Alligator mississippiensis: one gene and its partner. The protein of the gene in region 1 interacts with the protein of each later gene in a pairwise test. Links are inferred from orthologs where the notes say so. Each region holds a gene or a part of one and is shown on either strand. Other genes may lie near its edges.

Region 1 (15,226 bases):
TCTCAACCTAGGAAATTCTGTTCTGTGGCCAAAGTGTTGCACCTAAAATACCTGGATTCTGCCACAATTTCTGTGACCTCAAGCAAGTCACTCAATGAGAAGCTCACTGAAGTCCACAGAAAGAATTCTAGCAAGCTAAATGGGTTTTGGATCAGGTTCTGGATCGATGCATAAAAGGGATATTACTTCTTTTCTCCTACTCCTTTTGATTCTTCTACTAATGTTAACTAAGTCTTAAAAATTGGGTGCCCCTTTTACTAGTTGTCAAATAAGGAATAAGAGAAAGCACCTGCTTCATTGGGGCCTCAAAGTTCTACTGTGATAAAAATGGAGAAAATATAATATCACCATTGATGGCAATATACACAATATACTGCCATTTAACATGTTAAACATAAATGTATAGCTAAGGTAACACGATTTCTTCCGTAACATTCCCTAGATGTTCCATTTGAGTTCAACAAGGTGTCAATAAAATTAAATACTAGAAAAACTCAACTCCTATATTCAAATAAAACTGCTTACAACACATCAGTGTTAGCTGAAAAATAGATCAAAGTAGACTTAAGTTCAAAGTTAAACCTGAGTCTCTGCCTTTAGCTTGTACCATTGTGGAAAAACAGGTTTCAAGCACATCAGCAGAAGTCAAAAGAAATCCATTCGCTGCCTATTTTCATAGGTATAAACCATTGTGACACCAGTGTGACTACTACAATTGATACTAGTGCGACTGAGAATAGACTTTGTCTGGTTATGCCCAAGAAGTTCAAATTTTCAATTTTTTGTTGGATTTTATTTTTTTAAATAACTTTTTTTCAAAAACTGACATTATGTATTTGAAGCTATAACAGGCAAGAATGACCTATTTGTACTCCATGCCAAAATTAGATATGGTAGTTTTCATGGAGCTCTATTTAAAACTTGAGCACCTCAGTGAAGGATAACAACAGTCAGCACTTCATCTCTTGAAAGTGCTGTACAACTGTTCATTAATCTAAAGAACTGGTACACTGAAGACTGCAGTAAGGAGTGTGCCTATTTATCAGTTTACACATTTTAATTATTGTTGCTACATTACCGACCACACTGCTTTAGCAACTAATTTTGAGACGCAAGCCAGATTTTTGTAGGCTGTCACTCACTGCCCAATCCCTTCTTAAAAAGAACCAGGGGTTAAAAAAAGAAAAGGAAAAACAATCTTCTTTTCACTGACATATGCTTTAGATATCATCCTATCTCTATTTTTTTTTCTTTTTCAGCAAATGGTTAGGTAGCCTTTCCCAACAATCATCTTCCTCTAACAGTATAGTGGTTTAGTCCACCTTAAATAATGCACTAATTAAATTACAGAAAATGTAGACAGACACACAAACCTACAGATCTTCATTTCTTTCTTTATGCCCCCCAACAGTTAACTGTTCCATTCTACATCTGTGTAGAAATATACTGTTCTTTATTGCTGCCTCTCCCATACGCTGTGTAGAAATATACTGTTCTTTATTGCTGCCTCTCCCATACGGTGGCTTATTCTCTTAGGACCAAGCATAGTATTGTGTGGAGTTTCACACAATACCATGCGCAACTATCTATTCTTTCCTCTCTGTTCTATCCTTCCTGATCTTTATACTGATGATTGGCATGTGTGTCCAACAGGCACACCCACTGCCTCTATTATGTATTTATAGTAGACCACTAATTTGTATTTTAAGGTAAAACTGCAGCCTCTATAATGTGATAAATTACACCAGAAGCAGGTTTTTCATCAAATGTCAAGTACAGCTTCTCAAATCTCAGATACAGCTTTTTTCCAATGGAAAAGCCTGCCCAAGGAAGTTGTGAAACCTCTTTCGTTGGATATTTTCAACAAGAGGATGGCATTCCAGGCATCAATACAGGATGCTTTATGCATCTAGAATGGACTCTTGAATCTATGCTGTGGGTAGGAGATGACACTTGATGTACTTTCAACCTTGTGATTCCAATCCTTGTACAGCTTAACGTCTCCATTACATTTTCATGGCTACCAACATGCGTTCTAAATACGTCTTAAATCCTTTCAAGCTAAACCACTGCTCTCTCAAACTACATGTGACCACAGCCTGAGAGAGAAATTTGGGGTTCTGGGACCTGCTTCCCCACCTCCCATTTTGGAAACAGAAAACAGATTATTTTATTTGAATTCTAAGCTGAATCCATAAGTTTTAAAATAAATTTCTAGAGAGTGTATATTTATTTTATTTACACTCATGTTACTTGCAATTCTCATAATTTTGGGGACCTGGTACAATTGTACCCCAATTTCTCATATACCCTACCTGTAATGGTCTATTAGATCCATTTTTTTATTCAAAACAAAAATGTTTTTTAATATATGACACATTTTCCCATGTATTTAATGGCACTTATTATATCAAAGTACAATTAAGAGTTACCATTTGTAAAGTTTACCCTGAATTAAAAGAAAGCCTTTTTCTAAGAGGTATGGAAGACAATGGCAATGGAAATCTCAGATATAGTAACATCTTCTGAGAAATTATATCTTTTTTAAATTATTTCTGCATTACTTCCTATAGTAAGAGACAAACTCGGACCCATCACCACAACCTCTACAGTCAAAGAGGGCCAAGAAAGCCTCGCTGCAATGTTGCTGGCAGATTTGGAAAAAAAAACATGCAAAGGATGTACATCCCCAAGGGACAAAGAGACCTACATGCTGAGAACTTATTCTGCTGTAAAATGCAGAAATGGGCTGGCTAAAGGAAAGAACCATGAGAATCAGGAGATTCTCTAACTTGCAGCCGCCGAAGCATTTACCGGGATCAAGAAGGCTACTTCTTCTGCCCAGAGACTGAAGTCGTCTCCCTGGAGCATTCCCACAGATGGCTAGTGGCTCATTTGGGATAGAAGAGAATTCCTTTCCCTGCCACTCAGGCATGTGGTCTAAACCTTAATTTTCCATGCTTATTATAAACTTCAAATGTAATGCAGTACTTCCAATTGTTTGGATACATTTTAAGATCACTGTATATAAACAGTTCTTTGCCCAGATATGAGGAAGTCCCTCCAATCTGAGATTTTGTGGTTTTATCATTACAGAATATTTTAAGAGAACTATATATGAAACAATCATCAAACTTTCTATTTAGGCTCCATTTATAAAAGGTTAATAATTAACAGAAATTTTCATAATTAAATTTGTTGATATACCTGACTGACAAACAAGTCAATAGATTGCTTATAAAGATGGATTTATACCATGAATCATACATGTTGCTCATGACTGTAACAAGCTTTGAGTAGTTCAGTTCTCTACAACTAGAACATCTACAAATACAATTGTCCATTTTTAGTACAAGTATTAGTATTATTTTTAAACACCTTTTATATACCTCCAGTTTCTAAGACGTGATCATGGTACTTTCATTAACTGATAACACAAATTACTTTAGGAAACATGCAGAGAAATATTAATATCTGTGCATGTGTAATTCAGTTTTAAGACTCTATTCAGTAAAAAACAAACACAACTACTCCATATTTCTGAGATATTACTTTCTTAACAGTAAATGATGTTTGTTTACACTTTTTTTAATGATCAGTTGTACAAATTAAGAATTGGCAAAGGGTAAAAGTGCCTATACACCCAGAAAGGGGGTTGTTCCCTGCAATTATAACAACTTTAAAAATCTTTTTAGTGCCTATCAAAGACCTGGATCAAAAGGCCCTCTTAAATTCATGCAGACCCTAAAATATAAATTGTTTGAAAAATGATTTTTGCTAGCAAAGTACAAAAACCTACCTAGAGGCTGTTTTTGCCATTCTTTGTCATCAAAATATAACAAAAAAGTATAAAATGAAATGCATGTATATACTAAAAGCAACATTGAAATTCTGGACAGAAATGGGTCAGTTTTCAAAGACACATTATTCCCATCAATGCATTAACATGGGTAGTGCTGTAATTAGTTTGACAGGTTAATGTTTGTATTTCTTTAAGAAGGTGCTGCTATTTCTGAAACACTACATGCAGTATAACACTTGATGTAGGGGTTGCCATAGTAAGGACATCTTTGCCTGAATATCAGAGTAAATAGATGCATAACACACCCACATACCTACCAATGCAAGTTATTTCTCTTGCTTGATCATGTAACAACCATAGAAACACTTGACGTGCAATGTATATGCATCAAATTACCATCTCTCATACATTATGACTATCTGTAACAGCTCAGGTTGGGGGGGGCGGGGTGGAATTAATGAATTGAGATTTTTTGGCTGGCTGCGACAGGACAAGTACAAAAGGAGAATTATAGGAATTTATGATAGTGATGGCTATGTTAGAAGCATCCAAGATGAAAATAATATGTGTGCTAATACCTATCTGCCAGACCTCAAGCCACTTTACATAGTAATCCCGCTAATTTAACCTTTCATTAGGCCACCTTCCAAGGGAAAGAAAAAAGGAAAACGTAACTAAACGTGCTAATTTCAACAAAGCGGGCTGCTTCTCTTCTCTTTTGTCCCACAATAAAGTCCATCCATAGAAGCCGATAGAGTATTTTTGGCACGCTCACTGGAAGGGGACCAGGCCCAGCGAGCCTAAACACAGGACCCAACCAACAATCCCCCCTCTCTGCAATCAACCAGTTGTGCAGGGATTTCAGCAGGAACAGGCTGGCTCAGGCTCGCCGTCCTTCGCCGGCTGAGGCTGTAAGAGCAACTACTCCCTCACAGCCCTAAGGCTCCACTTCCCCCTGCAGCCCCGGGTTTAAAAGGACAATGGCTTTATAAGGGGCATGACAAAGTCCAGGCCGCGGGGAGAGAAACGAAGCCTTTATTCCTGGCAAGGTGGCAACATCCCTCGGTCCACCACCTCGGCATCCCGCTGCGCGCCCAGGCGCTGCGACCGCGGGCACGGCCACGGGGCAGGAGGAGACCACGCCACCACACGGCCCGCGCGCGCTCCCCGGCAGCGGCATCTCCCTGGCGCACAGGGCGGGGGGCACACGGCCCGGGCCGGCCCGGCCGCCCCCGCTCCCCGCCCAGGCACCTGTCAGCTTCCCCCGCTCCTCGGCTGCGGGAAGGGACCGGGCACCAGCTCCCCGCCCACGCGCCCCGCCAGCAGCAGGCGCGGGCTGCCCCGGGCTCGCGGGCTGCCCGCATCTCCCAGCCCCGCCCCGCCCCGCGGGCTCTGCGCAGGCAGCCCCGGGCCCGCACGGCCCCACTCCCGCGCCGCAGCGCCTCCCGCAACCTCCCGCGTGCGCACGTGCGCCCCCGCCCTGCCCTGCCCTGCCCTGCCCGCCCGCCGCAGCAGGTGCGAGCCGCCGCCGCCGCCGCCGCCGCTCAAGGACACGTGCGCGGTCCCCCCGCGCCCCGCTCCGCACTCACCGCGGGGGCGGACGCCGTCCCGAGCCTGCAGCGATGCAGCTAGTCCCAGTGCCCGGAGCCCGCTGCCTCCTCGCCGTAAATCCCTTCCCCGGCTCAGGCCCCGCGGGCGGGGCGGCGGCGGGGGCCGCGCACAGGTGCGCCGGGGGCCGGCGGGGCCGGGCCGGCGGGGGCCATGGCGGAACGACGAGGCCGGGCCGAGCCGACGCCTTCCCCGGCGGAGCCCGCGCGATGCCTGGCCGGGAGCGGCGCCCGCAGCCGCGCTGCCTTCCCCCGCGCCGGAGCCGCACGAGCAGCGGCCGCCGTCTCCCGCTAGGGCGGATGCGCTGCGAGAAGTGCCGCCGCCGCCGCCTCCGCCCCCGCCCCCTCCCGCTCCGCGTCAGAGCCGTAGCGAGGAGGCAGCGGCCGCCTCTTCCCGCTCCCGCATCCTGCCGCTGCCGCCGGGAGACGGGGGTGGTGCCGCCGCCACCTGCCCCTGCCCCTGCCGCCGCAGGTGTCTCCTCCCCGCCCGCCCGCGGCTCGTGCCCTCGGCGGCGCTGCCCGCCTCCGCACCGCTCTGGGCTCCCCCTTGTCCCGCCACAGTAGGGCTGTTGCCTCCGGGCTCCCCTGGTTCCTCCTTTCCCCTGCAGGAGGAAGGAGCCCCCGGACTTGCCAACAAGCCCTAGCAGAGAGGATTGGGGTTGCCCCTGGACGAGACAACGTCACACCCTCCGCTGTGGGATGTCCTGTGTCCCCTGAAGTCTCCAGGACAAGCTACGGGACGAGCGGAACAAGGGAGCTGTGGACTCTCCATCATGAATGGAACAGGCTGCACAAGCCCCTGGCCTACGGGTGCAGACAGACGTGCAGCTCCCCGCTGTAGCAGAAGGATTTCTGCAAAGGGCTCTGAGCTATCATGTACCCCGACGGCACAAAGTTCACCGTTGGTCCCTGGGGGGAGGGAATCCAGCTGTGGGCCTGCAGCCAGGTTCCCATAACAACTGCCAGGACTGCTGTTTTCAGAACAGGAGGGGGGGAAAGCAGCGGAGGGAGCTCTGTCTTGGGGCTTTCTGAAGGGTGGGTGGGTGGGTGGGTGCACTGGAGTCTTCTCACATCTTGGGGGGGCTCCAAGACACCAGCCTACCTTGTGGAGGGGCTAAAACCACCCCGCCCCCCCTCGCCCCCACCACTGAATTACCTCTGCTCCCTTCCCCCCCCTCCCGTTCTGAAAACAGCAACAGGCTGGGAGCTCTGCAGACACAAGTTACACAAGATGCTACATTTTGAACAGTCTTTATCTGATGCCTCAGGCAATGAGGGGTCAGATTTTCACCTGATCGGACATTTTTTAAGCTGATTGCAGCTTTGCACTTGGGTTTGGTCACACCTATAAACTGCTTTCTGTAGCCAGACTGGGTGAAAATTGTCACTTCTGTCTGTACTTATGTTCTACCATGGGTATTTCCCATGCTCCTGGGCTTTGCTGGTTGCCCTATACTCCCCCCACCTCCTCTGCTATGTGTGTTGGGGTGTTTTTTATCCCTTCCCAGAGGCATTGGGTGTTGGATATAGCCTAGGGACCAAAGCCAGAGGTTCCTAGCTAAAGGGTTTTGCTCCTCCAGTCCAGGTCAGACAAACACCATACTTAGGGTCAGGAAGGAATTTTACTTCATGTTCAAATTAGTATGGACTGTGGGGGTGCGGGAGGGGTTTGCCTTCCTCTGTAGCTGGGGGCATGGCCCTCTACCCCCAGACCTCTTGACAGCCTTTCACAGAAGTAGGACGTTGGCTGCCATGGTTCCCCTATTTTGTGGCAGGTTAGGATATTATGTCTGTGTTGCATCTGGTTTGACAGAAATCTTATGTACGGTTTAGATTATGGTTCGTATGGATAGGGATGACCCCACAGCAGGCAGGGGGTTAGGTTAGATGACCTTTGGTGGTCCCTTCCAGCCCTACTTCTCTATGACTCTATGGCTGATTAGATGGACATACAGTCTGACCTAGTATGGAGCTTCCAGTGTTCATCTCACCCCAGTCTCCCCACACCCATCTAGAGATGACAGGTACATCTAAAACAGGTGGGCAAAATAGCAGATCTGGCCGATGGCTGGACTCCATTTCCCAGCAGCCTCTGCATGCATTGCTGCAGTTTCCATGGAGATGGGCCCCAGCAGCAATGGCAGGGCATGCAGCTGGGCAGGGAGCTGCTCCAGGGCCAGGATACTGCAGCTGTGACAGAGTGGTCCGGAGCTGCGATCCGCTGCCTGCACACCCCAGGTATCCCATTTCCCCCTCCCAGATCCAGGGAGTGTGGGCAGCAGATCACAGCTCTGCTCTGGCTCTGAACCACACTGTCACCACTGCAAGATCCCAGCCCCAGCTTCAGAGCAGTTCCCTGCCCAGCTGGGCGCCCTGCCAGGGTTGGGGTTGGTCTCCATGGAAATCCTGGTCCCATGCTGATGCCACCACTATTGCATCTCCATGGGAACCAGCTGCAGTGATGTGGGCTGGGGCTGCTGGGAAATGAAGTCTGCGGTGGGCCCAATCCAGCCCAGGAGCTGGACTTTGCCCACCCCAGTCTAGAAGGTTGAGCTGGGTAGGCTGCAGTCCTCAAGCTTTGTATACAGGTAGTATAGAGCTTCTGCCCCGTTGCATCGAGTTTCCTCATATGTTAAGACCATCCCTGAAATTTACTTGGTGAGGGGTAGATCTCATAATGCCAAACGCCAAGCAAATCTTTCCCTTCCCTGCCCAGTCCAGGAGCTTAAAGAACATCATTAATATCCTCTTCTCTGCCCTATTCCCTCCCACATACCTATCTAGAATCCTATAATGGCACTCACCAGTTTAATAGCTTCCACAGAATAATGGACAGTATAATGATATGCAATCAATTGTCAAATTTTCTTCTCCATTTTCCTCTAGGCAGCAGGGGACTACTTGTTTAAAGATGTTTCCTTCCTTTCCTTCTACCACTTTGCACTCTTCCCTGAAGGCAGTGAGATTTTTGGCCATTTTAATCCCTATTAAAATGTAAAGCTAGGGCCCAACTTCAGAGAAAGCTGTCTTGTGCTCTCACAAGCCCCCCTCCTAAGATTGACAGTACCCTAGTCCTGAGGAAAGTGTAACGTGCTGTTATGGAGAGACACTGTCTGAGGTATCTTGAACTTTTTCCATGAATGGCCCTGAAGACCAAGACTGAGACCTTCATCCTGACCTAGTTCTCTTTAGGGAGCCTACATGGTTGAGAAGAGCTCTTGGTTGTGATATACCTTCTTAGTAGCAATTATCCTTGGGAGAGGAATAGCTGCTACTAACTGAAGCTCTTTTAGAGCTGAAATGTTCATACTTAAATATAGTGGGCTGGAACAATTCAGCCTGAAGATCAGGGAGGTGTGGGTCACTGTGGCCATATTTGATAAGCTTCAGAGGTAAAAGCAGAGGTGTGGCAGTGTGGATGCACCCCCCATCTGCCACCTCTGCTGCAGCTCATGTCTGAACCAAGTTCAGGGGGACCCCCAGAGCCACTTCCACACTGCTCCAGCCAGGGACCGTGGCTGTGCAAGGTGCCAGGGGAGAGCAGCAGTGGCAGCACGCAAGTTTCTCCTTCCAGCTCCTTGCTTGCCCCTCCTTTGCAGGTGGTCCCTGGAAGCAGGCACTGGAAGGAGGAACCCATGTGCTGCCACCACTGTCCCCAGCTGATCTGGAGGGCAGGGAAGCCCCAGAGCTATTCCTGCTCCACTCTTGCCTTGGGCTGCAGGCAGCAGCTCTACAGGAAGCCAGGCTCAGCAAGGAAAAGTGGCAGCAGCAGAATGCAGGTTCTTCCTGCCCAGCAGTGGACCCCTGAGAGAGAGGGGCAGCAGGGAGAAGGCACTGGAAGGAGAAACTTAAGCCCTGCCTCTACTGCTGCCCGCAGCTGGGCCCAGGTCTCTGCACAGCTGCTCCCTGCAGCATGAGACCAAAGTGGTTCTGGGGCTTCACCCCTGCCCCTAGGTCAGCCAGGGATAGAGGCAATGATGGGGCCAGACCTCTCCCACTTTAAACACCTGCTCCCTTCCTGGCTCCCCAGTGTCCCTCACCAGTTCCAGCCATGCCTTGCCGCCATTCCCCTCTAGTCAGAAAGGTGGTATGGCACCCCCCACCCCCTTTAGGAAATCCTGGATCTGTCCATGATTAAATGGGAAGTCTCTCAGCAAATTGTAGAGGGAAAGTATGTTGTTTTCTAGCTATGGATATCTGCATGCTCAAGAGCAGTGTGGAACCATATGATAATCTAACTCAGTGAAGAATGGCAGAAGGCAGGGCAGGGTGGCACCTTAGAGACCAACTGGTTCATGGAGGCATAAGCTTTAGTAAGCATCAGCGTACGTCATCAGATGATTTCAGACTAACATAATTACCTACTCTCTACTCATGGTTGGCACTGTGCTCAGTGAGCAATGATATATTTGTGATTCCACTGGGTCTTCAAAACATCTCCCTTTCACCACCATCATCCTGCCTCTTAGCCCAAATTCAATTTAACCCAGCTCCTTATCTGGACAGGCAGATAAATATCTGGGATCTGGGGCTTTCTGCACTAGACTTAAACAAGATGGAGGGATATTATCTGCATATTATTGGCATTTGAGATCAGGGTGTCTCCCAAAGGTTTCATGTAAATTTTAAAAGTGTGGGAAGAAGACTCACTTTTGTGAAGAGCCTCAGGTGCATCTTCCAGCTGCAGAGGAGGAGTTGCCTATCACTACTTTTTATGAGTTCCCTGCAAAGACAGATTAGTGATCTCTCATCAGACTGTTCCTTCCCTGAAGAGAATAGACAATAGCAATGTTATGGCCAACAGCTCCATGGAAAGGAATACAGACATTCTGCCACTATCTGTGAGAAGAAGAGGTCATTATCTATCAGTCCTTGGGACACATGATTAATACATATGATGAGATGAAGCAGGAGGTCACTGTTTGTAGGTCTCAGGCAGGAGATAATTTAGCTTTGCTTTTCTTTAAGTTTGTATACTGTCTGCAAGGGCATTTGGGATCTTGCAGATTTATTGTTTTTGATGTGCAGATTTTGTTGGTGTTTTAATAGAGCAATTACTGCAGCTGGCAAGTTATTCTAGTGCGAACATCAGGCAGGTGCCCTTTTTAAATGCTAGTTTTGAAGTGTTTCAAAATCTGCTAGAACACAGGAACTGCACCTGGCATTCAACATTTTCTGCCCATCTCTGCTACTAGATAGAGCTTTTCTTAAATTTGATTTTATGTTTATGCTCCCCCCCCTCCCATTTTTTATCTCCCCACAAGTATGAGCCATAAACTGGATTGATATTAAGGAAATATCCTGTTAAAGAACAAAAGTCATTCTGAGGACATTTCATAGTTGGTAGGGTTGGTAGGGTTGGAAGGGACCTGAGCAGATATTCAAGTCTGACTCCCTGCCATGGGCAGGAAAGAATGCAAATCTCTTTCTCAATGAGATTTCAAAATGGCTTGGTTGCAGTGTGGACAAGAGTTAAGCAATGATTATAGAAAAAATGTAAGGCCATTAGTATTCTATGACAGTTGTACTAAACCAGCAGCTTGTTCCTGGAGCCATTTTGCTTTGGAGGGGAGTTGGACATGGATAGCTTGTCTATCTTTATCAGTGGCAGACCTTGAGATTAGGACTGAACATGTCAACCCATGTCCTGCCCACCCAATTCTGTTACTGCATTTCAGAGCCCAGGTCAAAGAGTGTGGGACCATCAAAAACCCCCAGCAGAATTGTAAGAATGGACAACTGTAGCCAGTGTCATAGCAAGGTGGGGGTGAGTGGGGCAACCGCTACAGACGTCAAAGTGAAGGGTCACCAACAGGTGCTGCTCAGCCAGAGCGGGGTGTGGGACGGAGCTGCAAGTGGCTTGTTTGGGTGCGGCGTGGGGATGGGGGAGGGCAGCTCCCGCTGCTGCGTGCACTCCCAGGCAAGCATCGCAGAGATCTGTGCATGGGGCGAGGGTGGGCTGCTCCTGCAGGCTTTGCTCCAGGCATCAAACTTCCTTGCCACAGCACTGACCATAGCTGTGAACTAATGCTTGGTGAAGGAGGCGATGGTGTTTGAGGGTAAGCCTAGAGGCAAGGGTCATGGTCCAAAGAACTAAGGGCAAAAGGCTGCAACTGAGCAGGTCGTTCAGCTGATAAGAACGGAATGGACTTACCTGATGAGGACTGAGGAGCCCCAAGTCTTGCAAGGCTTACGGAGCTCAGGAAAAAGAGAAAGAGTGAGGGGAAAAATCAGGATTCCCTCATTAGGAAGTGAGGATCAAACTAATAACCTAGCCACCTGAGAGCAGTCTCTAAATCTATCATTTTAAACATCAAAGCATGGCAGGCGAGGTGGGAGAGTGCACTAGGGTTCCAGGGAAAGAAAAGCAGGGCTCAAAGATCCCAGTCGGCCTGATGGACCCCAAGGCCCCAAAACTCTATCATACTTTCTCTTGTAGATATCAACAGTTTGCGTCTAGCAGCCAGCTTGAGGTTGACAACAATCACAATTATTCTACTGTAGACTTGGCCTTAGTTACATAATTGATTTCATATTGTTCATGGGGATTTGCTAGGCTTGAAAAATCAGCATGTGTCTTCCCCCATCAGCCCACAGTCACCCACACAAAAACAGTTATGGAACATTCTGCTACCTGAAATATAATGCTTCCCTAGGCAACCATCCATTCTGCCTGTAGGGTAGTACCAGCCTTGATTTTGTACATGTCCTATGATCCCACCAGAGTTACCTACATTTCATAACTAAAGGAATTATTATCTGTACATGGGATTTCTTTCAGCAACAGAAGAAAGAATAAACCTTTGCTTTTAAATTCTGTTGTACATAATGTCCTATACAGCTTTAACTAACTAACATGCTAAGCAGCATGCATAGAGCATGCGGCGCACACTGCCTTAACATGATGTGCAGAACATAGTTCAGCCAAACATCTTTTAGAAGGAGGGGTCTGAGTTAACATGGCACAGTCCCACATCCTCTGTACTCACTCAAGACCCATCCTGATGTAAACCCCATGCAACCTGACTGCTGCAGGTTTGTGAGAGCCAGGAGAGAGTTTCTCCATGGTATCATCTCCCTGGAAACAGAAGAATTTTATTGTTAGCTCATTAGCATTACCCCAGTTACCATTATCCTATACATACTACATTCTTCAACATCAAGGGAATGTTAGAGCAAGTCTGAGCAGAGAGGCTACAGAAATGTATCTCCTGAAGGAACCATGATGACATCCATTGACAAGAGAGTCTAGTATTAGTGTGGAGTCATTGGCCTCTCAGCCTATATTCTGCAGGACATTCCCAAAAATCTCACAAGACATCACATGGTTGGAAGGCTTTGCTTCTTACCCAAATGAATGCAAATCACAGACAACTCCACAGCAAAGGGCAACTACTGAGTGAGAAAAAGTCAGAGCTGTGGGCTGGATCAAGATGTGCAGGCACGTGCAGTTTGTGGTGCCACAAACCTCTTTGCTATGTGTCGCAGGGCACCTCGGTGCTCCTGCTCCTAGAGAGGGGAAAGCTGCCAGGGAGAGAGACCTGGCAGAGCCTAATGAGCGCAGCTGCAGGTTGCCAGCGCAACTGATGAGGCTCAGCTGGCCAGAAGGGGGCAGGGCCTGGCCTTTATAAAGCCCAGGGCTGAGGCCAGGCTGGCAGTTCCCTGCCAGCAGCCAGAGAGGCAGGAGTTCATGAGGCTTAGGTGCGGGTATTGCTTGAGCAGGCTGAAGGATGGTGGCTCTGTGGTGCAGGAGCTATGTTGTTGCAGCCAGGCAGCCTTGAGTTAAGTTACAGCCAGGAGGCTTGTATTTTGTTTGGTTAGTGTATGTATTACAAACCGGAGGCTTGGGTGAGGCTGTAGGGGTTGGAGGAGGCCTCATAGGGACCCCAGAGAGTGTGGGGGCCCCAGCGCCTGAGGAGGGCGCAGTGTTCTCGTAGGGACCCCATAGGGGTGGGGTGCCCCAGCGCCAGTGAGGGCACAGTCTAGCGCCAGGAGGGTGCATTATTCTCACAGCGCCAGTGAAGGTGCAGCTTACGCGCCAGTGCAGGTACAAGTGGCAGTGAGGAGCGCAACCAGTGGGTTGCGGACGGGGGACACGGACCCCAGGCTGTGTGCAGGGTACATAGACCCCAGCCCCAGAGACAGGGGCAATTTTATCAGGGAGCCCAAGGTGGGCACAGCAAGCCCCAAAGAGGGGGAGCACCATATTGGTCTATTGAGGAGCCCAAGGTGGGCACGGCGAGCCCCGAGGAGGGGGGAGCGCCATATTAGGGAGCCCAGGACAGGCGCAGCAGACGCCAGCAAGGGTGTCACTTGTGGGGTACATAGACCCCAGCCCCGGGGGGGGGGCGATATTGAGGAGCCCTAGAGCGGGGCGATATTGAGGAGCCCAGGACAGGAGGAGCGAGCCTGGTAACAGGCTAGCACCGTGGAGAACCCAGGACAGGGGAAGGGTGCTGCGGTGGACCCAGACAGAAAGGGTTAGCAGTACAGCATCCCAGAGAAGGGCAAGGTGCTGCGGTGGCCCCCGAGAGGACGGGGAGTAGCAGCGCGGTAAGCCCGTACTAGAGAGGGTAGTGGTGCGGTGGGCCTAAAAGACCGGCGGCTCAAGGGGACGTCCCAGAGGGGACTAGCGTATTATAGAAGAAGGGCCCGGGAAGCGGGCGTGCAGACACACCAACATCTTTCCCATCTGCGAGGCTTGGGGCATGGTATTAGGGGTGGTAGGAGCCACGCGCAGCCCATAAGGCTAGGGTGCCTGGGGAGCACCCGTCATACCAGAAAACCACAAGAGTCCAGGAACACACAAGGACAGAGGTCCCGAGTAGCCGTGCCCAGGGAGTCATAGGCAGCCTCCCGAACCTACTGAACAGCAAAGACGTGGCGGGCGAGAATAAGAGGGTGCCTTGGGCTGGCCTTGATACGGAGCAAGGGACCTCGAGGAGATCACGGCCCTCCGAGAGGACTCCACCGTGACATTATGCTATAAACCACACATGTTGCATGTTAAACCGTGCCCTGCACTGATAATTTTCTGTGCTGGGGCAAAATTTGCTACCGGGATTTCCCAGTAGCAAACCCCTCCCCAAAACTAAAAGTGGCACAAAGCACAGTGTGCCTGGAGATGGGGGAACAGGAAGCGCAGGAGCAGGCAGCTCTGGGAGCCTGCTCTCCCATCTCCAGGCACACTGTACCCAAGCCAGCTGGGGAGAGGCTGGCTGGCACTCAGTGTGCCTGAAGAAGGGGGCTCCACATGCCTTAGTGTGAGGGCTCCACAGTGGAACTCTCACTGAGGCACATGGAGACAGGGAAGCAGCAAGCCCAAGGCTGCCTGCTCTCCCATCTTGAGGCACACTGCCCCAGCCAGCTGGGCTGCCTCCCACCTCCAGCATGATGTAGCGCAGGGGACAGCTGTACTATCTCCTGCCCCCAGCGCGATGTAGTGCCTCCTGCCCCCGGCATGATGTAGCATGGGGGATTGGGAAGCAGCCCAACTGGGCTGCCTCGCCGCCCCTGTCAGAACTTGTGCTGGGGATGGGAAGTCATCCCAGCTGGACTGACTTCCCATCCCCAGCCTATGGTCGAAATGTTTCGACCATCCTCGTTTTGTTTTGAGGCTATTTCAACGGCCTTTGTTTCGTTCTGATTTCGCTGTTTCGACCTCAAAATTGGTTGAAATGGTGTCCGAGCGAAATGGCCAGTGAAATTTTGCACAGCCCTACTCCACAATATGTGGAGATGGAGGAACACGCAGCCCTGGGCTGGCTGCTCCTCTGTCTCCGTGTGCCACTCTGCAGTGGGCTGAGGCACAGAGTGC
Region 2 (15,303 bases), on another chromosome or scaffold:
CCTAGCCATTTTGTATTTTTCACAGAAATAGCCATAATGAGTTCCAAACTGAATTAAAGGATCATCATAGTTAGGTCCTAATTCACTTTCATTTTTGGAAGAATATTTGGGGATGTACATTACATTTCATAGGTACATACTAAAAAATCACATGGAGAAATATATAGCAATGTCTTTCCCTGCCCCATTGCATATTAGCAACTGCAAAATCAGGTGTCCTCTGATTATAAGCAAAAAAAATGTTGTGTTAATAGTGAACTCTGAATGCACAGTATTAGTCTAGTATAATATTGGTAAGGCTCAGTGTATGCTGTAGCTGACTTTCTCTCTCAGACTTATGTCTATGTTTTCCATCACCTGTTGTAATGGACCATAAGACTGAGGATACCTGATCTCAGACTGTTGCAATGATCGTGTGTGCTTGGGCATCAGAGGAATTGACATGCAATTTTGAAAGTTGGGCCCTAAAACAGCCATGATTTGGAGGCAATAGACTGTGCTAAGTTAATATCTCTTCTCTAGATTTGCTTATTATATTATTGGTAGGGAACTATTTAATTTGCGATTTCACAGATTTCATGGAACCCGTGAAATTGGGCATTGTCCATGAAACCAAAAAAAAAAAGTACTCAAAATAAAATGCTAGCTCCCCAGTGGGAGCCAGCAGTCCTCATGGCCACTACAGCCTGGTCTCACAGCCCACTGGAGGGGAAAAGAAGGAGCCACCAGCCATGTAGGTGTGCCCCTCTCCCCAATCAGTGGTAAGGAGTGGGGCCACTAGGACCCCTTGGTCAATCAGCAGTGAAGGGCCACAAAATCAGCTGCACATACCACAAGGGCCCATGAAAATCCCTTTCGCTCACAGATAGATCCCTACATATTGGGTCCATGAAAGGCAACATTTGTCTTCCTGCTCATACAATCAGCTTACAACTTCTATTCCACTCCTGGCAGGAAATACAAATGTAAATACATATACTCAAAGTGAGTTTAGATATTCAGATTCAGTGCTGATTTATCCCATTGATTCAGTGCTGATTTATCCCAGGTTGAATTTTACCACCTACCTGGCATTCATTCAGGGTGGATAAATATCAATGCTTTTTTTTTTAAAAAAAGGATTTGTTTTTTACTTAAATGATTTTTTTATTTAATTTTTTTATTAAGTTTTTAAAAAAGCATCTTAACAAAAACAAACATAGTTTTAATTTAAGATATGTTAAAGCTCAAATATATCATCATGGAATATGGTTTATAACTTCTAATTATATACTATTTGAGACAATATATTCCTTTTGAGACAATATAAACCTTTTTAGAAGTTTTATAAATAGGTCAACAGGTCATGGACTATATTAGGGGCCCAATCGTATGGGGTTCCCAGAGGCTCCTTTATAGGTTAGTAAAGATTAAAGAAAACCACTCTACCCACCAGGACTCAGTGCTCAGTCTAGAAGATCCCATTAAGCATCTCTGTGATGCTTAGTTCCAGTTCTCAGACTGTGGATTTGTGACTCCAGAGATCATAGGCAGACAAGGTTCTTTGGGTAGATGTGCTATCTTTTATTAGACCAACTAAATAGTTGGAAAAAATGTTCTATGCAAGCTTTCAGGCAAAAAATTAAATCCACCCTGCATTCATCTGAAGCTCATATAATCCAGAGTCCTCAATCTTTACTCCTTAAGAGAACGCTAGTGTGAAAGGTACTGATTTGAAGTTCTTGAGGAATTAAGTTCTTATTCACAGGGCATATATAGCACAGGAAGAAATATAGCAGCAATGCCAGTTTCTTCATGTTACTGCACTAACAATGTACCACAACTCTGACCTGGAGGGAGTATCTCTGGGGTGATCTTCAATGTACTTCCAGGCCTCAGTGACACTAAGGCCAGTAGATGTGATAATTTTGCTGTGACACCTTTCTGTGGCCCTGGCTACTGGTCTGGTGATCTGGATCCTATTTCTGACCCTGCCATTAATTTACTGTGTAACTTTCAGGAAGCCATTGCACTTCCCAGTGTCTGCTTCCCTATGGCAAGGAGCATAATGACACTAACTTTCCTTTCTTAACCATCCTGAGATCTTTATAAATGAAAAATGCTATGCAACAGCAAACTTCTGCTTGAACAGTTAAAACAAGCTTCTACAAACTTGCATTAATAACTTGAGCTGGTTGGAACTTTTTTAACTAAATGTATTTTCATCTAAATATGCTGACTCATCCAAGCCAGTATGGTCTGTGGAGACGTATGAATTCAAATAAAAGTTCTCTACTGGAAGCAGAGGTGTGCCTATACACTTCTGCATAGTGGCTGTGTTGCCAGTGGCAGTGGCAGGTCAGCAGTGTAGCTGCTGCTATTTTTGCTCACAGTGCCCTACTCACTGCCCAAGCCTGTTGCTCCAGTCATGCCTTCTCTTAACTACTGTACCTACTAGAAGGTTTCTAAGTTTATCTTTCTGGATGCTGTAGTCACTACTGACAAGAGAAAGGAAGAGAGAGAGAGAGAGAGAGAACAAAATTAAAAACCTGATCTTTTCCATTGTAAAACAGTGATGTACAGACATTCAGAGAAATTTGGGTGGAGGTTAAATCAGGTTAAAAATGGTCACCTGATCTAAGGTAAGTTGGGATGGGAGGGTTAGCAGAGGGGCTTGAGTCCGTGGGCAAGCAGGGTCTGCAAGGGGGCTAGGAGGAATCAGGGGGTCTAGTGAGGTCCACAGGGAGGATTGGGGGGGTCCAGGAGGGTTTGGTGGGGGGGGCTAGCAACAAGGAGGGTTGGAGGCAGTGGGGGGGGGGGAGGCTTGGCAGGATTGGAGTGGCTCTCCAATCCTGCCAAACTCCCCCAGACCCTCCCCAGATCCACCCCAATGCTGCCAAACTGCCTCCAATCCTACAGACAACTCCTAGGGCCAGTTTTACTAGCATTCATTGGTACTAGGAGCCTGACTGAAGTAAGTGAAGGTGGGGGGAGAGGCAAGCAGATGCGGGGCTGGCAGCTCCACGGGGTAGGGGAGGTTTGGCAGGATTGGGGGAGCTGCTGGCTCTGCAAGGCGGGTTAGGTGCGTGGTGGGCGGTGGTTCTCTGCACCCCCAGGACCAGGGGCTATTTTTCACCCCCCATCCTCCCCACCCCACAATGAACAAACCCCACACTGAACCAATCCTGACTTACATCGATCATCTCTCAGCACTGGCAAATGCCAGTAAAAATGGCACTAGCCGCAGCTTGTGGGACTGGGGTTTTTTATGGACTGTGAGGCAGGGGGAGGCTGGCTGGTCCGCAGTGGGGGACTTTTCCATCTGGGGGTACAGGAAGGGGCCAGGAGGCTAAAAATAGCCCAGTACTGGGCTAGGGGTAGTGCTGGGAACTGTACAGTTAGATCAGTCTCACTGGACCCAATCTGAGTTAAACTACCTCTGAAGTATGGTTAACCTAGATTGGATTGGCCATTTTGAGACTGATCTAACCTTCCTGAATTTCTGTACAGTTCGCACTTAGATCAACCTAACTAGAGATCTAAGGGCAGTGACAGGCATGCAGCTCCCCGCTGTAATTCATGGCACTTCTGAATTACAGCAACCCCCTAATCCAACAGACATTTGCTGTAGGGTCCCAGGGGTGGGAGATTGAGCTCCAGTTGGGAGCAGCGTTTCTGCAGTCTCTCTTCCCTGAAGACAGCATCAGGTGTGGGGCTGAGCAACATCAGCTCAGCCCTGCTCTGGGTGTGCACTGAGAGAAGTTAATGAAGGTGCTCTGCTTTGAAGCACCTTAATCTGGACCCTCATATAGTGGGGGTTCAGATTGTCATGCAATCGGGCACTTTTAAAGCACTCTGCAGCAATGCTCTTCTGTCAGGGCATGGCTGTAGAGCACTTCAGGGAGCTAACTGCATGACAAAAAGTCACTTGTGTCAGCGCCTTCGGTTTCTTTCAGCACCCTAAATGTAAGGTCTGCACCTGGGAAACCTAAGTGAGATTGGGTATCCACTTTAATACAATCTAACCTCCCCAAATGTCCGTGTCCAGCCCAATTCTGACAGTTTTTTAATGAAAATGTTTGGTTTTCAGTCTGATATGGACCAAAAATGAAATCTGGAACAAAAACAAATGTTGAAAGCTCAAACCTGCAAGTTGTCATGAGAGAGAACTGTCATCCTCTTTCCAGCCTGAACTCCAAGTTCAGAAAAATACATCTTTCTTTTTTTTTTTTACGTCTCATCTCCTCCTCCTCTGCATTCTGTATCATCATACTATTCCTCACATCTTTTGAACTGTGCCTTCAAACTAGTGTCATGCATACAGGGAAAAAACTAACATAAAAGTTTCTCAGGGACAGGTAGAATATAGCGTGAGCTTGTTGATCTGTGTGCTAGTGCCTTCCCTTTGTCATCAGCTCTGTTTTGCTGAAAGCAATTCAGTGTTGCATGTGCTTTTGTAGCATTTGGTTTGCTAGGTCAGGTTCTTCTGCATCCAACATATCAACAATTGCTAGAGACACTCTCAGCAAAACTTGGCCATTCAAATGCTAAGTAGCACAGTATCTTTTTTGTCTCCCACTTCTGACTAGTGATCATACCAAAGCCTCCCACTTCATTGGTCTTTTTTCTCTGATGCTGTTCTCTACAAACCACCGACAGCCAGATTGTGACTGGCCCTGGAATGGAACGGGATGCGCAAGGATCTTTGAGTCCCAAAGCCTTGTCCCTTTCATGGGGCCTGACTGTTATCTTGGCATTTGGGGGAATGTGAAAACTATTTCCTCTATAGGCCTCAAAGAGCTCCAAGGCTGTAAACAGACATTGCATTTATTCCAAGAGAAAGCTTTTTGCCTTCAGACCCTAGAGATGTACAAGACTACCGTCCCATTTCAAGTCATTTTGAAGTATGCCAGATAAAATGCACTATCACTTTTTCCCTGGGACATTGTGGCTGTGCATCTGCAGTAAGATTGTTGTGAGCTATACCTAACAAGCTGGTGGGCTGTGTGCTCTCACCTGCCACCTAATGGCAAAGGCGCAGCAGTGCAACTTGGAGGGCCTGTGCTGCCCTTATATCAGGGGTGGTCAAAATGCAGCCTGAGTGCCAGATGCGGCCTGCCAGGCCATTCTATCTGGCCTGCGGGGCCCCTAAAAAATTTAGAAAACTAATATTAATCTACCCTGGGCTGCCTGTCATGTGGCCCTCAATGGCTTGCCAAAACTCAGTAAGTAGCCCTCTGCCCAAGATAATTGCCCACCCCTGCCTTATATTGATCCAGGTCAACATAAAAGAGTGAAATGATTAAAACTGCTGATATTTGGGTCTTCTCAGTTAATAGCCAGCAGCTAGGAATGGGGGCAGTTTATATGTAAACATTTACACTAGTGCTAAATGTTACTATACACAGCAGGTCCCATTGAGTTCAGTGCAAATATTTGTGTGTGCAAAGTAAACAAACAAGGTTCTTTGGGTGAATCTGATATCTTTTATTAGACCAACTTAAATAGTTGGAAAACAATTATTAAGCAAGCTTTCGGGTTCAAAAACCCTTCATCAGGCTAAGGAGGTTTCAGCACTTGGTGTGTGCTCTTCCTGGATGGAATGAAAAGTAAAGAAGGCAGAGGCTGGGCTGGTATGCATACAAGACAGGTAGTCAGTGAAAATGTAGATTGAGGAGTCAGTGGGTGAGAGACAGGCTGGAGTGTGGGGGAAGAGAAAGAAGGGAGATGAATAGTGGAGAGATACCTGGGGAGTCAGATGGCAGGCAAGTTATAATGTGTCATAAATCCAATGTCTATATGTAGTCCATGATTTTTAGTATCTGGGAGGTTGATGAAGTGGAATTCATAGGCTTGTCTCTGGGAAGTGTTTTGTAAGTTTCCTTTGAGGATCAGGACTGAGAGATTGGAGAGAGAGTGGTTGTCTTGTGAGAGAAATGTGCCCCCACCGGTAATTGGGTATTCTTGTCTTTGATAGATTTCTGGTGTGCGTTCATTCTGGTGTGCAGTTGTTGTTTGGTCTCTCCTACGTATTTTCCATCAGGGCATTTGGTGCATTGGATGAGATATATAACATTTCTGGAGGTGCAGCAGTAAGATGCAGGGATACTGATGGCTCTGTTGTGGGGTGTAGTAATTGTGGGGGTGGTGGAGATGTGTTGGCAGGTTTTGCATTTCTTGTCATGGCATGGCCTGGATCCTTTTGGTGTGTTCTGGGCTTGAGGAAGTTTGCTTCTGGTGATGAGGTTGGCAAGGTTCGGTGCTTGTTTGAAGGCTAGGATGGGTGGCTCTGGGAAGATCTTTTTAAGAATAGGGTCTCTTTCTAGTATAGGTTGCAATTGTTTGAGCATTTTCCGTATGGGTTCGAGGGAAGGGTGATATGTCATAACCAGCGGTGTGTGATTTGTGGGGGGGTTTCTTCTGTACTGCAGCAGTTCTTCATGTGGTATCTGGGTGGCTCTTTCAAACGTGCGATCTACCTCTCTGGAGGAGTGTCCTTGTTGGGTGAAAGCCTTTTTGAGATTGGTGAGGTGGCAATCCTGGGTGTTCTCTTCAGTGCAAATTCGGTGGTATCTGAGGGCTTGGCTGTATATCACAGCTTTTTTGGTGTGTTTCGGGTGATTGCTGGTTCTGTGCAGATATGTATGTTGGTCTGTGGGTTTCTTGTATAACGTGGTCTGTATTTTATCATTCTGGATACTGGTCATTGTGTCTAAAAAGGAGATATTGGTGCTGAAGTATTCTAGAGAAAGTCGGATGGAGGGATGGTGATTGTTGAATTTCTGATGGAACTCAATCAGAGATTATAGGCTTTCAGTCCAAATGATGCAGATGTCATTGATAAATCTTAAGTATAGCAAGGGTTTGATGGTGCAGTCCTTGAAGAATTCTTCTTCCAGGTGGCTCATAAAAAGGTTGGCATACTGTGGGGCCATTTTGGTGCCCTTAGCTGTTCCCATCATCTGGAGGAAGTGTTGATTATTAAAAGTTAAATGGTTGTGCATGAGGATGAAGTGTATAAGGTCAGTAATATCTTTGGGTCTGTATTCTGAGTTGTAATCTTGTCCCTGTAGATATGTAAGGCAGGCTTGGATGCCATCCTGGTGTGGGATGTTGGTATATAGGCTGGTAATGTCCATAGTGCCTAGGAGTGTGTTGCTGGGAAGGTGGTCTATGTTTTTAAGTTTCCGTGGAAAGTCTGTGGTGTCTTGGACAAAACTTGCTCTTTGGGTGATGAGCGGTTTTAGGATTGATTCAACAAAACCTGATATTTCCTCAGTTAGGGTCCCATGGTTGGATATAATATGTCTGCCAGGGTTCCCTTGTTTGTGGATTTTAGGGAGCATGTAAAAAGTCTGCAGGTTAGGTAGTATGGGGATCAAGGTCTGTAGTTTTTCTTGTAGTCTTGATGGAAATGATTTGATGGTATTGTTGAGTTTTTTGGTGAAAAGGGGAGTAGGATCTTCTTGTAGTTCTTTGTAGTAGGTGGTGTCAGAGAGCTGTCTGTTGGCTTCCTTTATGTAATCCTCATGGTTTAGGATGACTATGGCTCCTCCTTTATCTGCTGGTTTTATTACTATTTGGTGGTTAGATCTTAGAGATTCTATGGCCTTTTTCTCTGGTACAGAGAGGTTGTGGTGGCATCTGTTGCTGATTTTTTCATTGTTCATTCTTTCCCTGAAGCAGCCAATTTAGCGGTCAAGGTTAGGGTTTCGTCCACTGTGAGGTGTCCAATCTGATGGTTTTTGGAGTTTTTTGGCATTGATCCTTTCCTGAATGTTGTCAGAGGATGAGTTGTTGTTGGGAGTGGGTTCAGTTTGGTCATGGAAATATTCCTTGAGGCGGAGGCATCGGAAGAATTCTTCTAGTTCTCCACATTAAAGTATTTTATTAGGGTATTTTTCTGGACAGAAATTTAGACCTTTAGAAAGGACAGATTTTTCAGTTTTGGTAAGCGTGTGTGTGGAGAGATTGATAATATTTGTGGGTTGGTTGCTGGAACGGGGCAGAGCAGCTAGAATATACTGGGTCAATACAAATATGAACTCACAGCTGCCACATGTAAAAAACGTGTTGACTTTCAGGGATACATGTTGTAGGTGTACTGATCTAAGAATTATAGGCAAACAAAACTCCTGGGTTGGAGACAATATTTTTTATTAGACCAACTAAATAGTAGCAAAAAAAATTCTTTCTTTGCAAGCTTTCAGGACCCAACACCCTCCTTCCAAACGCCATTTGGAAGTAAACAAAGTACTTACATACATATAAGATTGAGGCTTTTGATCTGTAATTGTAGTCCTTCTGTCTGCAGGCATAAGATATAAATACCTCAAGTAATCATAAGCTATTAGTAAATATTTATTTAGCTATCTTTATTTGCTGTCTTTGTTTGATAATGCTCATCTTGCCTGAGTAGAGATTATGGAACAGATGGAACAGCAGGCCACATAGCCAATATTTATGATTTCTTTTTCTTTGAGGGGAGGGTTGCAGTGGTGCAGCCACACACCCCTTTTTGACTGGATGTCATCACAGGAGCATCCAGGGACTTTTTAAAAGCAGGTAAGAATCCCTCCCCCCTTGTGCTCAGAGACAGGTCCCCTCTCCTTCCCTTCCTTTCCCCTCCTCCCCAGCCTACCAGCTTCTGCTTCCCCTACTGCCCCCAGGGCTAAGGGAGGCTCTAGAGATGCCCCTGCCTGCTCTAGCTGGGAGAGAAGGAGACATGCCTCTGAGCCCAGAGTGGGAGAGGGGAATTTTTACCTGCTTTGAGGGTGCATCTGACATGCCAACTCACATGCACACCCTCCCTGGAGGAGTTCTGGTATTCAGAGCAGTAATCTTAGCCTCCGGGTATGTCTTTTAGGTCTGGATGCCTGTATGCACATGCCCATGGATGTCTGGTGGTGACTGTGGAGCACTGGGAGGCATGAGGTATGAAAAGAAGGAATATGTGTTGGGGAGGGGTGTGTGTGTGTTTGTATGTGTGTGTTGGGGAGGGGTATGGGAGGAGAGAGTGTGTGTGTTGGGGAGGCATACGGAAGGGGGTGCATGTGTTGCGCTATGGAAGGGGAGTGTGCGTGCGTGTTGAGGTATGGAAGAGGTGCGTGTGGAAGTCGGGGTGTAGAGGGGGGGCGGGTGCACGTGTGTCCGGGGAGTGCCTGAGCACAGCGCCGGGGAGGAGAGGGGAGACGAGCCGGGCTCAGACAGCAGCAGGAGAGATACAGAAGCAGCCCCCTGACAGGCTGGTGCTGGGGGCAGGAGCTGCCAGCATTCTCCTATTGGTGCGAGGCGGAGCCGGCACGGGGAGCAGGGGAAATCGGCGCCGGAAGGTTTCGCTTGCAGGCGCTAGTCGTGGCCGCGCCGCCCCCGAGCTCCAGCGGGCACTCCCCGCCCGCCTGGCCTAGAGCCGCGCCGCGCCGCGCCGCGCCCGGGAGCAGGTGAGGGGCGAGTCGCAGAAAGCGGCAGGCAGCGGTGCCTGGCAGGGAACCAGGACTTGGTGGGCCAACAAAAAAAAAAAAGCGCTTCTCGCCTTGTGATAGGGAGAGCAAAATAGCAGGCAGCTTTTAATGGAGGTAAGGGACCAGGTCCTTTGGTGTAGCCAGGTCTAGAGGGGAGGGGACTTGCAGAGGTTTCTCACAGGTAGGCCATTTTTCTAGATCATCAGCAGGATGGTTTGACCAGCTGTGACACGGAGGAGTCAGGAGGCTGTGTGAAAGACAGAGGCTTATCCCCCCTCCCCCGGCGCACATGCACGCACACTCTCTTCCTGTGGCAGTTTAGATAAGGGTTGCCCGTTGTCAGAGCTGCCTCCGGAGGCTGCGTAGCACATTTTATTGCAGTGCTGCAGTGACGCTGGTATCACGTATCAGGATGTTTCACGAAGTAACGATGTGGTTATTGCACACACAACAGTTTATTTCATAATTGTCCTCACTTCCTGAAATACTCTAGTACTAAACAGGACTCCAGGGGCTGGATTGTAACTAGGGTGACCATCATACTCTCTTCTCTGTTGATATGAAACCCGACGCCTTTGTGGTCCATGGGACCTTTTCAAGAGAAAAATACAGGACATAAAGGCATCGGGTTTCATGTCAATAGAGGACAGAGGACAACCAGACTGTCGTCTATGATGTCCACCCTAATTGTAACCTCCTTACCTCTGGGGAAGTATCTCATTCCACCTACTTCCCATGGATCTCAGTGAAGCTACTTGCAGGGAAAAGCAGTCTTTTTCATACTGAATAACATCTTAATTTAGCCTGTGAATTTAGGCAAATGCAGAAGAAGATCAGCTGGTGAAAACTTTAATGCATCTAGGTGAGCAGCTACTCCTAGAATTTAATGCATCTAGGTGAGCAGTACTCCTAGAATTTCATAGATTGCATAGACATTAGGGTTGGAAGGGACCTCAGAAGATCAAGTCCAGCCCCCTGCCCCAGGGGCAGGAAGTCAGCTGGGGTCATAGGATCCCAGCAAGATAAGCATCCAATTTACTCTTGAAGATGTTCAATGTAGGTGCTTGAACCACCTCCGATGGCGGACTGTTCCAGACCTGGGGGGCTCAGACAGTAAAGAAATTCTTCCTTATGTCCAGCCTGAAACAGTCTTGCAGTAGTTTATAACCATTCGACCACGTCATCCCTTGTGGCGCTTTGGTGAACAAACGTTTCCCCAGATACTGGTGGTCACCCCGATAAACTTATAGGTGGCCATCAGATCACCCCTGAGCCTGCGCTTTTCCAGGCTAAAGAGCCCCATGGCTCTCAGCCTGTCGTCATAAGGTCTGTTTTCCTGACCTCTGATCATGCGCATGGCTCTTCTGGGGACTCTCTCAAGCTTCTCCACATCCTTAGAAGTAGCCACTCAGCCAGTAAATTATGCACAGACCCAAAGAATCAGTGTTTTGGTTGCAAACAGCCTGCAGCCAAAGGCTGAGCATTTTGGGGGAGACTGAGGCTGAAACACATATTTCAGTACTGGTGTAATAGACAAAATGAGTGCTCAATGAGAATGCATTTCCACCATGTGTCAAGGCTGTTTGTTTCTTGTGAAGGATTTTTGCAATCAGTTTGAAAAACTATCAGAAAACTGGGCAACACCCATCAGTTTAATGTATGTTTTGCTTCAGGTAGACTGACGCAAAACAAGTTGTAAAATGCTGTTTTAACCAACCAGCTAAAGTCTGTTTAAAGATGGACTGGAACAGGGCAGAGCAGCTAGAGTATACTGGGTCAATACAAATATGAACTCACAGCTGGCACATGTAAAAAACACTTGTTGACTTTCAGGGATACATGTTATAGCTGTACTGATCTAAGAATTATAGACAAACAGAACTCCTGGGTTGGAGACAATATTTTTTATTAGACCAACTAAATAGTAGCAAAAAAAAATTCTTTCTTTGCAAGCTTTCAGTTCCCAACACTCTCCTTCCAAACACCATTTGGAAATGTAAACTTCATTGTTAGCCAAGAAAGAGGATTTTTTTTTCACCTCCTTGACTGATACCAGACACCTCCAGGGATAAAGCCTGCCTAATAATCAACAATCAGAAAGCAACTCTCTCACAAAAGGAGTTACCCAGGGGAAAAAACTTACATTCTCTATATCCCCTGTGCAAAATTAAATTTATTTTCTATCTGAGAGACCTTTTACAGTCTTTGAATTCTCCACAGCCTGAAGAAGGGTGTTTGGACCCAAATGCTTGCAAAGAAAGAAATGTTTTTGCTACCATTTAGTTGGCCTAACAAAAGATATCATCTCTAATCCAAGAGTTTTGTTAGTCTATACTTGTTGACTTTACCATTAGTGAGTCATGCATCCATCTGCAATTCATATTGCTAAAACAGGTCCCAGCTGGCAGGTAGGAGGGTCTGATTTGCAAAAAGCTGGGCTGCACTAATCCTCAGGCTGTGCTGTGTATTGTGATGCTTCTCAGTGGGAAAAAGATGTTTTTCCCTGAAAGTAGCTGCAGCAAGGTCAGTCCAAGTGAGTGAAGTGAGGTACTCGACCAGGAGTAAGAGGATACCACTGCACATCTTCATTCTCCTTGTAGATTTGGTGCAGTCTGTGGATTGGCATACTCACTGGATTTGTTTGTAACCCCCTTTTTGTTTCAGGCTTCAAATATTCAGCAAGGTGTACTAAGAGGAAAAGTGATATCTTCACTGGTGATTGCACTTCTCATGCGAGCAAATATTTAATTTGAAATTCTGGGCAATCCTGGATTTTCAAAAAAGACAAAATGACTCAGTGCTTTCAGAAAATGGCAGGTAAGAAGAGTTTGTTTTCTTTTGATTAGCTAGAACTATGCACACTGGATACTCAGAAATGTCTCAGTTAAGTGAGTATTCTGTTAGGGTCCTGAAGTAACATTAAATACTTAAATCACTTAGTCCCACCGGGCTTGAGTGCCCTTGAAAATTTTACCTCAAAGCTACAATGCTGAGTGCCCTCTGCTCCCTGGCAAGTGAAGCTGTCAAATCTTAAAGGATCAGGCCCTGAATACCAGATCACTCTAATCACTGAGTTCCCTTAACCATTCTCTGAGTAAGGCTTAGCAATCAGCCTCTTAAGCAGCAAATGGGTGACACTTTCACTGAAATTCTTGAATAATTTAGTGAGTAAAAAACTTTAATGGATTTATAATTGTATTAAGTCTATAATAGTATTTGGTCATAACATTTGGTGATTATAATGTCCTGTTGGCAGAGCTGATCCATAGTTTCACATAGGATGCTGCTGTATTCCACTCTAGTCAATAGATTGAGAAACATTGCTTCTTTATGTCTGACTGACTAAAGTGGCATTTGGGAAAGGGATAGAAGTCAATAGCTGTGGCTGTACATGAAAGCTCTAACTTTATCCTCATTATGATGGGGATCTGGTGTATTTATTCATCCTCTGGTTCTGCCACAGGTACTCAGTTCACCAGGCCAGTGTAAATAAGCAAGAAGATTTTAATTATTAACTCCATGCACTACAGCATTACACTCGGGGAACACGTAGCAGTTTTTGATGTCTTCTTGCCCCTCAGCACAGCAATTTCTAATTAATAGAGACCTACGAAAATTATGATTGTGTAATTTTTTTTGTGGAAACTGCAATTTTGGGTGGACTCTGCTTTTGGCAGGCTCACTGCAAAACAAACAAACAGAAAAAAACTACATGACTTACAGCAAGCAGAGAAGTCCTGCAGTCTTGGAGCATGGGGGAGAAGGCAGAGGGAGGAGTGGGGTGGGGTAGGGCAGGGCAGGGCAGGGCAGGGCAGGGCAAGGCTGCTCACAGCAGGAGGTACAGCCCCCTGCCTCCATCTTTGTCTGGTGCTCCAAGATTGCAGGGCTTCTCTGCTTGCCAGTAAGTTCTTTATTTCCCCTACCCCAGCAAGCCTGCCAAAAGTGGAGCCTGCTGCTTGAGTATGACCTGAAACTGTGGCTTTATTAGCCTAATTAAGACCATGGAAGCTATGCTTAATAACACCTGGATTAATGATTTCCCTGGGCTTAATTAGGGTAATTAAGATGCAGTTTTGGACCATGTGGCAATCTGCAGAGAAGGGCAGAACTACCAAGGCCCCTCCGCCAATCAGAAGCGTGGGGGTCCCCACCACACAGCTCATGAAAATGGTGACTGGTCCCATGATCTACCTACAAAATTGGCTGGCCGCTTCCTCGAGTTCCACAGACCCCTCCTGCACTGCAGCCACTGCCTATTTGTATTATCCCTGACCATAACATAATGGGTATTAAATGCAATTATTATAATTAACCAATTACTCACTTTGAGCTACTTGTCAGGGCCCTTTTACTGTCCATTATTTAAAATCTGTATCTCACTAACACATCTCTCTCTTTTTCAGCTCCAGGGAGAAAAGTACTCATAGTGTATGCTCATCAAGAGCCCAAGTCTCTGAATGGGTCCTTAAAAAATATTGCTGTGGAAGAACTGAGCAAACAGAGCTGCAGTGTCACAGTGTCTGATCTCTACTCAATGGAGTTTGAGCCAAGAGCCACAAGGAATGACATTGTCGGTGAGACTGACTGAAGTACATCTTAAAAAAAACATTTAACTCTCTCATTTATCTCACGTTACTTGCCAGAGCTAGATTGATGCAAACATCATATGCTATCTGTAAAACAGCTGAGGAGGCTTTTGGTAGAAAGCAATAGCTATTTGTAAAACCCTACTTCTTTCTTCCTGTGGACATTTTGTAAATGATGCTAATCTAGGAATCAAACACACGCTATTGAGTTTTATGAGATTTTTCTTTATTAACTACAGCAAGTAGCAAGTTTGGGCCCGTTAGCTTAAATAGATTGGAGGCTCTATATAATGTAAGTTTTAACTTAATTTAGTCCCTTTGGGCATGAATGTTTCTTATAGCTTGCTGATATTTGTGTTATCACCTTTATTCAAACCATGTAATCATCAGTGCAATAATAGATTTTTCTGAGAATAATCCATGTGCATAGACCAGTTTTGTCATCCACCAGGTATAAATAATTCTAATGGAATATAGTAAATCTGCCATCCCTATATTAGTGATATTAGTAAAAATTTGGAGAGAAACAATGGTGATCATACTAAACTTAAAATTGATTCATCAGTGGGCTGTTTTGGGGGCTTTTTGTTATCAAGAACGGCTTTCACCTCTGAAAAACTGGCTCTCAGCCCTGATATTCTAGTCTCAGGAATAAAAATACAGTGCCATACTATGACTCGGCTCAGCTGACAGCGGGCACATCTACACATGCCATTAGGAGGCAGTAATAAACTGTAGAGTTTATTGCTCCTCAGTTTATCACTCCCAGGAAGCTCCTGGGCCCATATTTGCACATTAGCCCAAACCACAGTACACTGAGCCGGGTTGCAGCAGCCCCAGCTTAATTGAAACTGGTCGGAGCAGCCCTATGTGCTGCAGAGAGGCTGGCTGGGGCATGAGGGTGCTTCAGCATGGGGCTAGTCTTCAGGCAGTCTCAGCATTGAAGCACCCTCATGCCCAAGCCAGCTAATCAGCATCTTGTATTTACAAGTACTACCCTTCTGTTGAGTTTATTAGTTTTCTGTGCCCTAATAGGGGCGCACGTGTAGACACTGAGATGTTTATTGTGCAGTTAATTAGTCAACTGTGCAGTAAACATCTTGTGTAGATGTGCCCAGTGTCTGCTAACCTAAAACCCACAACTGAAAGAATAGAGAAACTGCAAATACATTACAAAAGAACACAAAGAAGTTTGCATGATGTCTGAATCAAATGTCACAAATCCAGTCTTGAAAGGTGCTAGCATCCTCAGCTCGCACTGACTTTAGTGGAAAGTG

The links.
Region 2: the proteins of LRRC7 (region 1) and NQO2 interact in a two-hybrid assay, tested with the Homo sapiens proteins (2 studies listed by BioGRID). The two-hybrid records come from large-scale screens. The link is inferred for Alligator mississippiensis from reciprocal best matches to the Homo sapiens genes LRRC7 and NQO2.

The regions. Positions count from the first base shown.
Region 1 is NC_081828.1:19,137,175-19,152,400, reverse strand, and holds the start of LRRC7 (leucine-rich repeat-containing protein 7), read right to left. Parts: upstream 5,687-15,226; 5' UTR 5,392-5,686; intron 1-5,391.
Region 2 is NC_081826.1:121,013,875-121,029,177, forward strand, and holds the start of NQO2 (ribosyldihydronicotinamide dehydrogenase [quinone]), read left to right. Parts: upstream 1-8,319; 5' UTR 8,320-8,544; intron 8,545-8,681; exon of another isoform or gene 8,682-8,832; intron 8,833-8,845; 5' UTR 8,846-8,913; intron 8,914-9,149; exon of another isoform or gene 9,150-9,419; intron 9,420-9,448; exon of another isoform or gene 9,449-9,554; intron 9,555-11,924; exon of another isoform or gene 11,925-11,973; intron 11,974-12,104; 5' UTR 12,105-12,229; coding exon 12,230-12,257; intron 12,258-13,843; coding exon 13,844-14,014; intron 14,015-15,303. UniProt on the Homo sapiens protein: The enzyme apparently serves as a quinone reductase in connection with conjugation reactions of hydroquinones involved in detoxification pathways as well as in biosynthetic processes such as the vitamin K-dependent gamma-carboxylation of glutamate residues in prothrombin synthesis.